Linked DNA regions of Sus scrofa. The protein of the gene in region 1 purifies or fractionates together with the protein of each later gene. This does not show direct contact. Links are inferred from orthologs where the notes say so. Each region holds a gene or a part of one and is shown in the gene's direction. Other genes may lie near its edges.

Region 1 (6,264 bases):
CACTGAGCCACAACAAGAACTCCCAAATTCTGTGTATTTCATGTTATATATTCCAAATATATTATTTCAGATATCTAGTGGCATTTTCCTGTTTGCCAAATGCCAGATTTGTGGATGGACCAACAGGTCAGCCCACCCAACCCAAAGGTTCTTAACAGAGTGGAGCAATGAGAGAATTTTTTCAAATTTCTCCTTTTCTTTTGTGGCCTAGCAAAAAGGGAAGCCAGAGAAGAACTGTTCAATAGGGATGTCACAAACTTTCTAGGTGAAGGTGGTGTCTGCCAAGTTTCTCCACTGTTAGTTACAATTTCCCCTTTGTGGCATTGGTGCAGGCTGGGTTCTTCACAGCACTGTGAAATCTCCCCTGAGCACCTTCCAGCACCCCATCCATTTGGCTGTATTGGGTGGCCAGTTCATCTAGCACTCTGAGCTGGCAAGCAGGTGGCAAACTGGCAGATGGCATGTGGCCTCTGGAGTGCTCAGGTCCTGTAGGGCAGTGCCAGCTGGTCTTGCAACTCAGGACTGCTGCCAGTAGGGTACACAGAAGGAGCAGTCAGTCCCATTGTAAAAAGGCAGCTTGCAGTTCTGTGGGGGAACAGAAAGGGGCAGCCAGGGCTACTGGAGGAGGTCTTGGGGAGTCTTCCCATCCCCCATATCCAGCTGCGCTGATCAGAGGGCAAGTCAGGAGAGTTTGGATGTTGGAGAGACATGGGAGGGCCAGTGTCAGAAGGGCAGTCTGGAATTGACAGAACGCTAAACCAGCTATAATGTAAAAATTAAAAATCATCAAAAAAAAAAAAAAAAGGCAGGCTGGTTGAACAGGAGGGTATAGAATGGAGAGGTAGACATGCAGCCAGAAAGATAGATACCCAATGCTGGAAGCACAGCAGGTGGATTGAAAGTCTTAGCCACTTCTATTCACAGGCCACTTAGGCAGAAGGATCCCCCAAAAGGCTTGCAGACAGACACATAGCCACCTGGTAAGACAGATTTCCAGGTAGAGTCCTAGGGCGAGACAAACAGACCACAGCAGGACAGCCAGGCAGATTCTTGGACAGGCATCCAGAAAGACCTGTGTCCCTCCCACCCCACTTCCAGCCAGCCAACAGACAATCACTCAAGAACAAACAGAGGGCCCTGCCACTGGACAAAGATGTTACTCAGTGGAGAGACACCCCACTATGCAGTCAACTAGCTAGCCAGACCTTCAGCTTGACAGACTTAAGCTCTGCCAGGAAGACAGACCCAGCCTACAAGAAAGTCAAGCCCTCTGGACAGACAGATGCCCCCCCAAGCCAGGGAGAGAGTAGTCATAATATATCCCATCCTGTTGGGCAGACCCTTAGCTGGAAGTGGAACACAAGATACCCAGCTGGCCAGAACCCTTTTGCTGGGTCAACCACCCTGCCTCCCTGTCACCACCATAGATGATATGGTGGCTCACTGACTCAGTGTTGCCTCTGATCCCCAGATATCACCGGTTTCCAGTGACCATTGCCATCCAATGACATCCACCATGAGCAGGGTCCATAAAGGCCTTTTGTGCTCCCACGGTGGCTCTCCCCCACCCCTTTACTCTGGTATCCACTACCCCCAAGTGACTGCCATTAGTGTCCATGAGGACTCAAAGATTTGGGTCTCTGGCTTCTCCAGTGAGCCTCAAAGTCTGCTGGTATTTCCATGTCTTGCAACCCTGTGTCTCCAGCAGCCATCCAAGAAATCTCTGATCCCACTGACATTCACTATCAGCCCTGAATAGGAGTCCTCGATGACCTTCCCTGACTCTTTTGACACCTCAATTACTTTAACATTCCAAGTCCCAGTGGTTACTTTCAGACTCTGACCTCCCAGTGACCGCTGCTGACATCTATGGATAGTCTGTGTGAATACCTTCAATGAGTTCACTATCAATGTCCATCCTTGGTGATCACTACTGACCCCCTTTGAACTCTCACAGGTGATGGTGATAAACAGTCAACAGTGATTTCTACTAATCGCTCAATGAGAGAAACACTGACCTGCTTTCACCTCAGTCACTTAAACTGGGATCAGAAAACCACAGCCTGCAGACCACCAAAACTTTTGTGACAAAATTTCAGTGCCCACGAAGTTTGCAATACAATCACACTCATTCCTTTACATATGCCTTTACATATTTCACAAGGCATGGCAGAGTTGAGTAGCTGGGACAAGGACAAGGTTTCTTAAAGAACCCAAGCCCTTTAAGAAACAGTTTGCCTGTCCCTGACTTAAACAGCACGCTAATGAACTTTATCCACACCCCTTACCCTTGAGGTGAGGGGTGGATGAGCCCATCTACACTGGCGGGTCCTTGGGAAGGGGGCAGGCTCCTCTCTGCCCTCTCCAGCCTCTCTTAGGGGCTGTATACTAGCTTTCACATTTTTAAAGACCAGAGTGTAGTGCAAATAAAGCTGCTGAAACTGTTCCTGTTGTGGCTCAGCGGCTTGCAAACGGTCTAGTATCCACTAGGATGCATGTTTGATCCCTGGCCTCAGTGGGTTAAGGATCTGGCATTGCAGAGAGCTGTGGTATATAGGTCGCAGACGCAGCTGGGATCTGGATCTCGTTGCTGTGGCTTGGCCTAGGTCGGCAGCCACAGCTTCCATTCCACCCCTGGCCTGGGAACTTCTATATACCGCAGGTGCGGCCATTAAAAAAGCAAAAACAAACCAACAAAAGACACAAACAACTCTTTTAAAAGCGTGGAGAACACCTAGTCCCCTGAACCCACTTCCAGGCCTCGGTACTCATTTTCCAATAAGGTTTATGTGAGTTGAGATCCTCAAATTTGGACTGGATTTTGGCGTCCTCAACTCTTCTTTGCACAACTCAGAAAAAGAAGCAATCTTAAGAAATACAAGGATTCAGCCCCACAGCCCAGGTGCCCGGGTGTCATTTTCCCCTGCGGCTACCTCCCCCGACCTCTCTCGGACCCCGCCGGAGTGCACAACGCGGGACGGTCCCCACGCGGGGTCCGCCAGGCACAAGTTGCAGCTCAAACTAGGCGACCAGCTCCACCCACAGCTGCCGCACCACCCCTTCTCGGATCTGGACAAAACCTAGCTCCCAGGACACCAGGCCGGGTGAAGGTTCGCTGTCATGCATGCCCCGGCGCGGACTCCCGGGTCCGAGGAAGGAGGTGTCCCTGGGATCGTGCGGACTCAGCCAAGCCCGCGCGGTGGCCACAAAAAACGGAAGCGCCGGGGCAGGACAAGTTTTTGGCCCAGCAGCGGGTCCTGGAGCCTGTGGGCGGGGGCGGGGACAGGCTCTGAGGGTCTTTGGCTTAGGGGCGTGTCCTGCCCGTCGCTGCGCACTTCCATTAGCTGGCGAGATTGGAGGCGGGGCCTCGGCATCCTCCCACGGAGTCTACACTAGCTAGGAGCGCGGAGCGCTGCAGCTGGACGGGACCTTGCTGGCCGGCGGCGCCATGAGCCACAGCCTGGACGCGGTGCGGAGCTTCCTGGAGCAGCTGGAGGCGCGGGGCGGCCGGGAGGGGGCGGTCCTCGCCGGCGAGTTCAGCGTGAGTGGGCGAGTGTGGACGGCGGCGCGGGCTTGCCCTGGACGATCTGGACGTTTGTTCTTCTGTGCGCTCTGCTGCGCTTTGCCTCTGTTTCTGGCGTGCAGGGGCGTCTCCTCGCCTCCAGGTCTTTTTCTCTCCCCAGCACCTCTCTCTGTCGCAATCTCTCCCTGTCTTCACCGTCTGGTCCGCAGAGCCCCGGAGGGCGAAGTCCACTGCTGGGCTGGGCGGGGCCGCACACGCCCTCGGGTCCTGGAGCCCTCGCTTCGCTCCCGGAACCATCCCGTTGTTGGGCAGGCTGGGCGGGGGAGGGCGGGCGTGCACCTGTGCTGGACGCGCGACACCCGGCCGCTCCTGATGACCCGGAGGTCACTCCTGTGGTCCTGGGGAAGAAGGGGCTAGGGGAAGAGGAACCAAGAGGCCCCGCTGCGGCAAGGGTGTGGTCACCAGCTCAGATAGGCGCTGTGGCCCCGGGGGGTTTTACCTACCCCCTCTGGCCTCGGTTTCTCCTTGGGTGAGTAGCGGACGTTGATGACTAAACTGACCTGAGGATTAAAATAACCAGTGTGGGTAAAAAGCGCTAAGCACATCCTGAGAGCTCACTTCACAGACGACTTTGTCACTAATGGTAATATTCGAAACTTGACAATGGAGTAATGCAAGCTATACGCATGGAGTGGTGATGCAGTAGCGTCATGGGCATCACATACTACACGTGCTAAGATGTTTTAAATATAACATAGAAACGTGCTGTGCAAATATGTAAACACAATATATGGTGACATATCTCAAATTTAAAAATAAGTTTAACAAATATATGTGTATAAGCATTAATAAATGACTAGATAATCATTAAGTACAATAAAAATTGCTAACAGAATCAAATTAATGAAATTAATACATATAACATCTATAGTGAATCTGTATAAATATGATCATACATTATAATTTTCATAGCATTAAAGTTCATAAGGAGTCCCCATCGTGGCGCAGGGGTTAATGAATGCGACCAGGAACCATGAGGTTGCAGGTTCGATCCCTGGCCTTGCTCAGTGGGTTAAAGATCTGGTGTTGCTGTGAGCTGTGGTGTAGGTCACAGACTCGGCTCAGATCCAGTGTTGCTGTGGCTGTGGCATAGGCAGGCAGCTACAGTGCCAATTAGATCCCTAGCCAGGGAATCTCCATATGCTGCTGGAGCAGCCCTAGAAAAGGCAAACAAACAAACAAAAAGTTCATAAAACAATAGAATAAACAAATACAACATGGAATTTACAAAATAAGCAGTTATTCAAATTCCTAAGTATGTGACAAATAGATAAAAGAAATATACAGATATAAAAATAGATGTTGTATATAACAAATGTGTAATAAACAAAACATGTAATTTATTCAGTATGAAAATGTACATAGTAAATATAAACACATAATACCCAGGTGGTACATGTCATCATGCCCATCTGGGTCTGGGTCCAGTCTGGGACAGTGAGCAGTGCTGAAGACCCCTGTGCAGAAGGCTAGGTGGTGAACAGTGCCAGTTGCTGGAGGCCACCCTCCTGCCAGCAGTCTCCTGCACTCACAGGAATCTTTGGGTCTCCCTAGGCTTTGGTTTTTTCATTTCTACCGATAGTAGAAATATCGGTAGTGGTACCCACTGCACTAGTGTGTCCATGGGATTTAAATGACCTGATGGGTGTAAGTACACTGGGCTTGCACCCAGTGGTGGCTTTGTAGGTGTTCCTTATTATCATGATTATAAATACCTGATGATGATGGTAATACAATTCACTAATTATAAAGATCTAACAGTAGTAAAACAGCTACAGTGTCTAGTTTCACAAGTCATTCATGTACATTGTATATTGTCCTATATATTGTGTATCATCATGTTTTTTATATTAACTACATAATATATTACAATTATTGTTCACAACACAAAGTAATACATTTTGAGTGTACAGGGGTTAGATACTCAGAGGTCTGAGTTCAACACTCACCTCACTCCTGGGTGGGACATTCAGCAAGTCACTCAAACATGTGGTGACTCAACTTTCTCACCTGCACAGTGGATACCTCAATAACAGTACCTACTTCAGAGGGATCTTGCAGATGTCCCTTACACATGTCCCCTCAATGCCCTTACAGAGTCTGGCAAAGAGGAGGCACTCTTGAGTCGCTACAATTATTGAATTTTTATGATGCTGCATTCACCTCTTGTAGGTCACGTGCTGTGTATCCCCGTGAGATCCTCAGTGTCCTAGGACTCTGACCTGGCTCCGCTCTTTGCTCTCTCCTCCCTCTCCTGGGTCTTCTCTTGCTGTCTTCCCTTCAGGACATCCGGGCCCACTCAGCTGCCTGGAAGACTGACGGCGTGCTCTCCACCGAGGCTGGTAGTCGACAAGAGAATGTGAGGAAGAACCGCTACAAAGATGTGCTGCCATGTAAGTCATGGCTGGGAATGGGGGTGAGGCCTTCCCGAGGGGTTGGTGCAGCTCCTAAGGTCCCCACCCCATGGGCAGTCCTGGTATTAGCCCGGATTCCCTGTGTCACCACTGGGCTCCCAGACCTTGCCTCCCAGAGCTCTGCTGTGGCTGCATTTCTCCCTAGCAGCCCATGAGTACACCTCGGTGACATCCCTGCTAGGTATACCATCTGTCCCCTGCTGGCTTTCATCCAGGAGACCATCAGGGCCTTGATGTCCCTGTCACCCCCAAACTCCATGTTTCTCA
Region 2 (6,325 bases), on another chromosome or scaffold:
GATGGAACCCACAACATCATGGTTCCTAGTCGGATTCATTAACCACTGTGCCACGACGGGAACTCCCTGCCCATTTTTCAATTGGGTTGTTGGCTTCTTTGCTGTCGAGCTGTATAAATTGTATATTTTAGAGATTAAGCCCTTGTCAGTTTCATCGTTTGAAACTATTTTCTCCCATTCCATAGGTTGTTTTTTTTTTAATGGTTTCCTTTGCTGTGTAAAAGCTTGTCAGTTTGATTAGGTCCCATTGGTTTATTTTTGTTTTTATTTCTTTTACCTTGGGAGACTGACCTGAGAAAATATTTGTAAGCTTTATGTCAGAGTGTTTTGCATATGTTCTCTTCTAGTTTTATGGTGTCTTGTCTTATGTTTCTCTTTAAACTGTTTTGAGTTTATTTTTGTGCATGGTGTGAGGGTGTGTTCCACATATTACTTGTCTTTTTACTAACAACACCTGTCCAGGTGATGAGCTTAGTAAATGAGGAATGAATAAGGAATATTTTCTGGAAGCGTGGACAAACACTTGCAATTTACAATATTACCACCAGGTGGTAGAAGAGAGTTAAAATTCAGGGATCTTTGAGGTCTGAGGCAGGCAAATCAAGCACTATGTACCATGAAAGGTTTTTATTTTTTTGTCTTTTTGCCTTTTCTAGGGCCATACCCACGGCATATGGAGGTTCCCAGGCTAGGGGTCTAATCGGAGCTATAGCCGCCGACCTTCACCAGAGTCCAAGCTGTGTCTGTGACCTATACCACAGCTCAAGGCAACGCTGGATCTTTAACCCACTGAATGAGGCCAGGGATTGAACCTGCAACCTCATGGTTCCTAGTCGGATTCATTAGCCACTGAGCCACTACGGGAACTCCCATGAGAGATTTTTTAAAATGTTAAAAATGAAAACTTAGCAATTAGAATTGTACTTAAAATATTTTTTCCAAGATATTCAAAACTTCCAGGAAAAATCTTGATGCTGTCTGTGGCACTTCCCCAGTTGGCATTATTTCTTACTCCTGCTGTTTAGCTTGTCTTCTTGTGCCCACTGTGGCCTCTGTTGCTTCTGATGGTGCTGCCAGGCTTCCCTTTCTTTCTTCTAACTGGACTGCTTTGCAAGGAGATGAACAACCAGATGAATGGATGTATGTCCTTTGAGTGACCCAGGCAAAGCTGGAGGCTACTTCTCATCTTTGTTGTTGAGGATGACTCTACTGTGGGATTTTACTACAAACAGGGTGGGGCTTGGGGTGAGGGTGAGGGAGTGGGGATTAGGGGTGGTATTACCAGGCAGAACCTTACAGCTGTCCTTCAGACTACCCTGGCAATTGTCTTTTCACTGTGTCTGAAGAAAGCTAGAACCTGGGAAGCAAAACTTGCCTCTGCAGGCCTGAGGTTGTGGGCTGGGCTTGAGCACTCAATTTTTGCACCTTTTTTTTTTGGTCTTTTTAGGGCCGCACCTGTGACATACAGAAGTTCCCAGGTTAGGGGTCGAATCTGAGCTATAGCTGCTGGCCTACACTACAGCCATAGCAATGCCAGATCCCAGTAGTGTCTGTGACCTACTCCACAGCTCTTGACAACTCTAGATCCTTAACCCGCTGAGCAAGATCAGGGATGGAACCCATGTCCTCATGGTTACTAGTTGGGTTCATTACTACTGAGCAACAGCAGGGACTCCTTGGCATTCTTGACTTTCATCCTTCTCTCCTTAAGTGGATCTGTCCCAGGAGTGACCTCTTTGGCTCCTGTCCTGTTTAGAAGGGCAGAGCTGTTCATCTTTTAAATATGCTGTGATCTTGGGCAAGGCAATCAGCCTTTTTGTGCCTCAGTTTTGAATCAGAAAGTATAGCACAGAGCCATACTTGTCCCAGAGTGCCATATTACTACAATGCAGGGATGACTTGCCTTGGATTATGTTTATGAGGGTGTTTATGAGGCAGCGTGGAGGAAGAGGAAAGTTCGGGCTCTTACTGTTGGAGTGGGATTGGTGGAGAATAGTCTTAGGTCTGGATCCTGAGAATGGGGAAAGATCGGGAAGGAGCTGAGTTCCCAGACACCTTGTAAGGATCTCACTGAGGGACCTGGAGTCAAGGGGAAACGGTATCAATGACTTTTCCATGTCTTTTAGACTAAAATGTGCCCAGGGGCTTATCTGTGGCCCCTCAGGGATCCTGCACTTAACTTGCTGAAGCGTGCGTGCACACTTGACGCGGCCGCTGGCATTGTCAGGGCTCAAGCTTCACAGATCCGACGTGGGGACCCCGAGATCACCTGTGATCCGGAAGGGACTCCTTCAACCACCACGCTGAGCCTGGGTTTCTCCGCGAGGAGCTGGGTCGAGGGAAAAGGGGGCTGTGGGCAGGAATGGGGCCTAATTCGGGGAGGCGACAGGACCGATCCTCAAAGGCCTCGCGAAGGAGAGGGATGTAGGACTAACTAACTGATGCCTGACTGCGGAGCTCCAATCTGCGGGCCGCGACTCCATTCCGCTCCGCGCAGCGCTGGGTGCGGGGCGCTGGGTGCGGGGCGCTGGGTGCGGGGCGCTGGGTGCGGGGCGCTGGGTGCGGGGCGCTGGGTGCGGGGCGCTGGGTGCGGGGCGCTGGGTGCGGGGCGGGGCAAGCGGCGGCGGGGGCGTGGCCTAGATCCCTGGTCTGGCAGCGGCGTCCACTGCCTGTGACAGTCCGGTCCCCGCGCGCCTGCTCCGGCTGTACTTGCCCTGCTCCCCGCGCGCCGGCCATGACGGGCTCACTGTTCAAGGGGAATTTTTGGGTAAGTCCGCGGGGCCGGTGGTCCAACGTCGGGCTCGGGAGCCAGGACTCTGAGGGGAACCTTGGCCCCCTGTCAGGTGCTCGCGGGCAGAACCTGAGCGGACGCGCCTCTGCGTCCCCTTTGCCCTGTCCCCAGCCCCTGCACGCCCGCGGGTCCCCAGGCTCCTCTTTGGGCCGCCCGCGCTCCTGGACACGCTGGCTGGGTGTAGCCGAAGCCACCTTAGAGTCGGGACATTCCTCCCGCATATCACTCTTGGGGAAACCGAGACCCAAAAGGAGAAGCCACCCTCCAGGGGAGAGTCGCTGGTGGCCCCCGAGGCTGCGCCGTGAGCGGATTGGGGGCACGTGGGGTGGAGAACCTGGGGTGGGCTTCGCGGGTCTGGTCGACTTTTCCAGGTCCACAGCCTGTCCGGGCCTCGGTAGCGCCTGACTTCCCCCTGCAGACCATAGAGAGATTCTCTAGCAGAAGCTTTGCCGGGTCCTGAAGCCGGGTTTCCTGAGCGCCTCCCGGCCTTTGCCCCCGCGGGTGCGTGTGTGAAACCCTGCGAGCTGGTCAGGGTATCCGAGCCGGAGGATGGAGCCCAGCCAGGAGGCAGCAGGTCCGCCTGCCCTCTCCCTCTGTCCAGCCTCTTCCCTCCTGTCTTCTCACTCCCGAAAGAGTTGGTAACCCCTCATTCGGAGAAACCACCCTCATCCCTTTAAGGCAGAAGCAGGATGTCTCAAGATTGACTTACTGCTGCCACAGGGCCCCATCTCTTTCTTGGGACGCTGCTCGCCCCCTTTTAGCTTCATAGCTGTCCAGCAGGTCTCTGCCCTCTATGGGTGGAGAAACCTGGCCCTGTAGCCTCCAGGACACAGTTTAGACCTTGCCTTATGAGGCCCCTTTTTCTGGAGTTTTTGAGATTCTTCTGGGGCACTGGCCACCTGTAGGGTACAGAGCGGTGGAAGCTTCACAAAGATGATAAACATGGAGTTCCCGTCGTGGTGCAGTGGAAGTGAATCCTAAACCATGAGGTTGCGGGTTTAATCCCTGGCCTGGATCAGTGGGTTCAGAATCCAGCGTTGCCATGAGCCGTGGTGTAGGTCACATGCACGGCTCGGATCTGTTGTTGCTGTGGCTGTGGTGTAGGCTGGCAGCTGTAGCTCCAATTAGACCCCTAGCCTTGAAACCTCCATATGCCCTGGGTGCGGCCGTAAAAGGACAAAAGACAAAAGACAAACAAAACAAAACAAAACAAAAAAAACCCAAAACAACAAACACCCCAAAAACCAACCAACCAAACAAAAATGGTAAACAGCCTGGCAGCTGGCCCCTCCAGAAGGCTTGGGAGTTATTTGTGTAGAATATAGGACTTTGGGGTCCCCTGACTAGGTAACAGGGTGGTGGTGGTGGTGGGGGGGGAAGCAGGGCAGAAAGACCTACCTTTTTCACCTCAAAATGTGACACACAGTTTTCAGGCCTCTGCCTTCTTTAGAGAAGCCTTTCGTGATGGTGCCCCCATAAGCACATGTTCTGTTCTTTCATAGCATTTGTCAGTTTCTGGTTTTGAGATTGGGGGCCTACAAGCATGTGAGCACCTCATGGACAGGTATTGTGCTGGCTTTCAGTGCCCCTGCCCCTTGCTCGGGCTGATGCACAGTGGTTCTCAGCAGATGGTTACAGTGGATTTGTATGGGTGACAGGGCGTGTAATGGGATGAGAGCAGCAGCAGCCTCCACTCTCAGAGGGCTCCCAGGCAGCCCCCACCCCCCAAGTCTTTTCCAAGGGAGACATGAGTCCTAGGTTGGGAGTTAGAAATTGGGTGAAGGTCCAGGGGAGAGACCTTTCTGGGTTTATACTTTTTTCCCCCCTCTTGGCTTTTAATTTCTGAATATATTAGACCCTAAGAGATAGTTTGCAAAGGTATCTTCCATCTCTAATTTCCTGTAATACTTTATGTCAAATAATAAAAAACAATAATAGCTAAATTACTATGTATAAGTCTGTAGCAAACACTGTTCCAAATACTTTGTACATACCACTCATTTATTTCTCACAACTGTTATCTGACTTACATCTCACACCTACCACTGCTTACTGACTATCCTGTTTTAGAGATGAGGAAACCAAGTGGCAGAAGGGTTAAGCAACATTCCCAAGTTTGTAGAGCTATTAAATAGGACTCTGTATCCACCAAATGCTCAGTGAGTGCCTTTGATGAGGCTGGTGCTCAGTGAATGTCCTTTTGACACCTCCGGAGGTAGATGAGGGGGCATCATTTGACTCTTGATGTGGATATCTTTCTTTTTTCAGCTCTGACCATGAGCTCCTCTGGGGTTTGTGCTGGGTACCACCATCCACTGAGCCCCCAGCACTGCAATGGTTCTTTGCATATGGATGCTTAGGAATCAGGCAGATGGAAAAGTCAGCCTGGATTTGGGGAGAAAAGGAGCAGAAGGGAAACTGGTGAAGGCCTCAGGGCCTACCTTCGGCACCCTCACACTCTTAGGGCTCGGGGGTGCGGGCAGGGCTGTTATTAGCATCGAGGGGATGGCAATCATTTTCATGCTTCAAGGACAAGAAGGTTGTGATTGTATAAGGTAGAAAACTTTGGAAACACAAGTAGATATCAGTTGATTGAATTTAATAAATATTTAAAATACCTTCTATGTATGAGCTCTGGTGGAGGTGGCATTTGTAGGAGGTAAGACCAGCCCTTGGTTTGATGGTAGAGTCCTCATGAGGAAGCCAGCAGGGAGGGCAGGATTTGGCCTTGAATGCCAGTCCTCAGGGATGTAGAGGAGGAAAGGGTAGGGGGATGGGAGAGTCCAGCAGGGCCTAAGAAAACTGGGCCAGGGGTAGACAAGGTCTGTTCCTGGGTGGAAAGCATAGGAAAGGGACAGGAGGAGACAGATGGGGGAATGGCAGAGGGTAGAAGAAGTCAAAGCCATAGGACAAGGTCATCAATTGTTGGGTAGTTGGGAGGGGAAAGCAGGGCTTAGAGGAGGCTCTGTGTGAGGTGAATAGGAGAATGCGGAGTGGGCCCCAGAAATAAGGAAGTTGAAATGAGGAACTGGTTTGTGGGGAGAGGAGGAGGAGGCAAAAGTGATATTGACAATATTTAACCACAGGGGTAGCACTGTGAGGACCAAGGCCAGCAGCACCCTGAACCAGCCTCCCAGCCCGTTGCCAGGGTTGCTGGATATAGGGAGGGAACAGGGTGCCAGACAGCAGAGTTTGGGAACATTCTAATATTTTAACAATCAGTTGCAGGTGCTCAGTTGTCAATATTATAGGTTTGGAGAGCTGGTAGATATGGCCCTGGCAGCTTGGAAAGGGTGTCCAGGCAAGAGAGTGCATAGGACAGCATAAAGTACAACGGAAGAGTTAGCAGCAGAAGCTCTGTGGTGCCTGGTCAAGTGTGAATCCAGATCTGCCCATTATAGCTGGGTGACCTTGGGCAAATTACTTCAACTCCCATTCTCCGTTTTTCTGTGTAGAACAATGAGGATAATAACAATGTCTGCACTATAGGACGGTTGTGAGGATTAAATCAGAATTTGGTATGTGCTGAGCACA

What was found.
Region 2: the proteins of PTPN18 (region 1) and PSTPIP2 purify together in Homo sapiens (affinity purification with mass spectrometry; 4 studies listed by BioGRID and IntAct, with this or other methods). This does not show direct contact. The link is inferred for Sus scrofa from reciprocal best matches to the Homo sapiens genes PTPN18 and PSTPIP2.

Annotation. Positions count from the first base shown.
Region 1 is NC_010457.5:31,962,851-31,969,114, reverse strand, and holds the start of PTPN18 (tyrosine-protein phosphatase non-receptor type 18), read left to right. Parts: upstream 1-2,543; 5' UTR 2,544-3,448; coding exon 3,449-3,541; intron 3,542-5,867; coding exon 5,868-5,976; intron 5,977-6,264. UniProt on the Homo sapiens protein: Differentially dephosphorylate autophosphorylated tyrosine kinases which are known to be overexpressed in tumor tissues.
Region 2 is NC_010443.5:95,724,131-95,730,455, reverse strand, and holds the start of PSTPIP2 (proline-serine-threonine phosphatase-interacting protein 2), read left to right. Parts: upstream 1-2,628; 5' UTR 2,629-2,734; coding exon 2,735-2,767; intron 2,768-6,325. UniProt on the Homo sapiens protein: Binds to F-actin. May be involved in regulation of the actin cytoskeleton.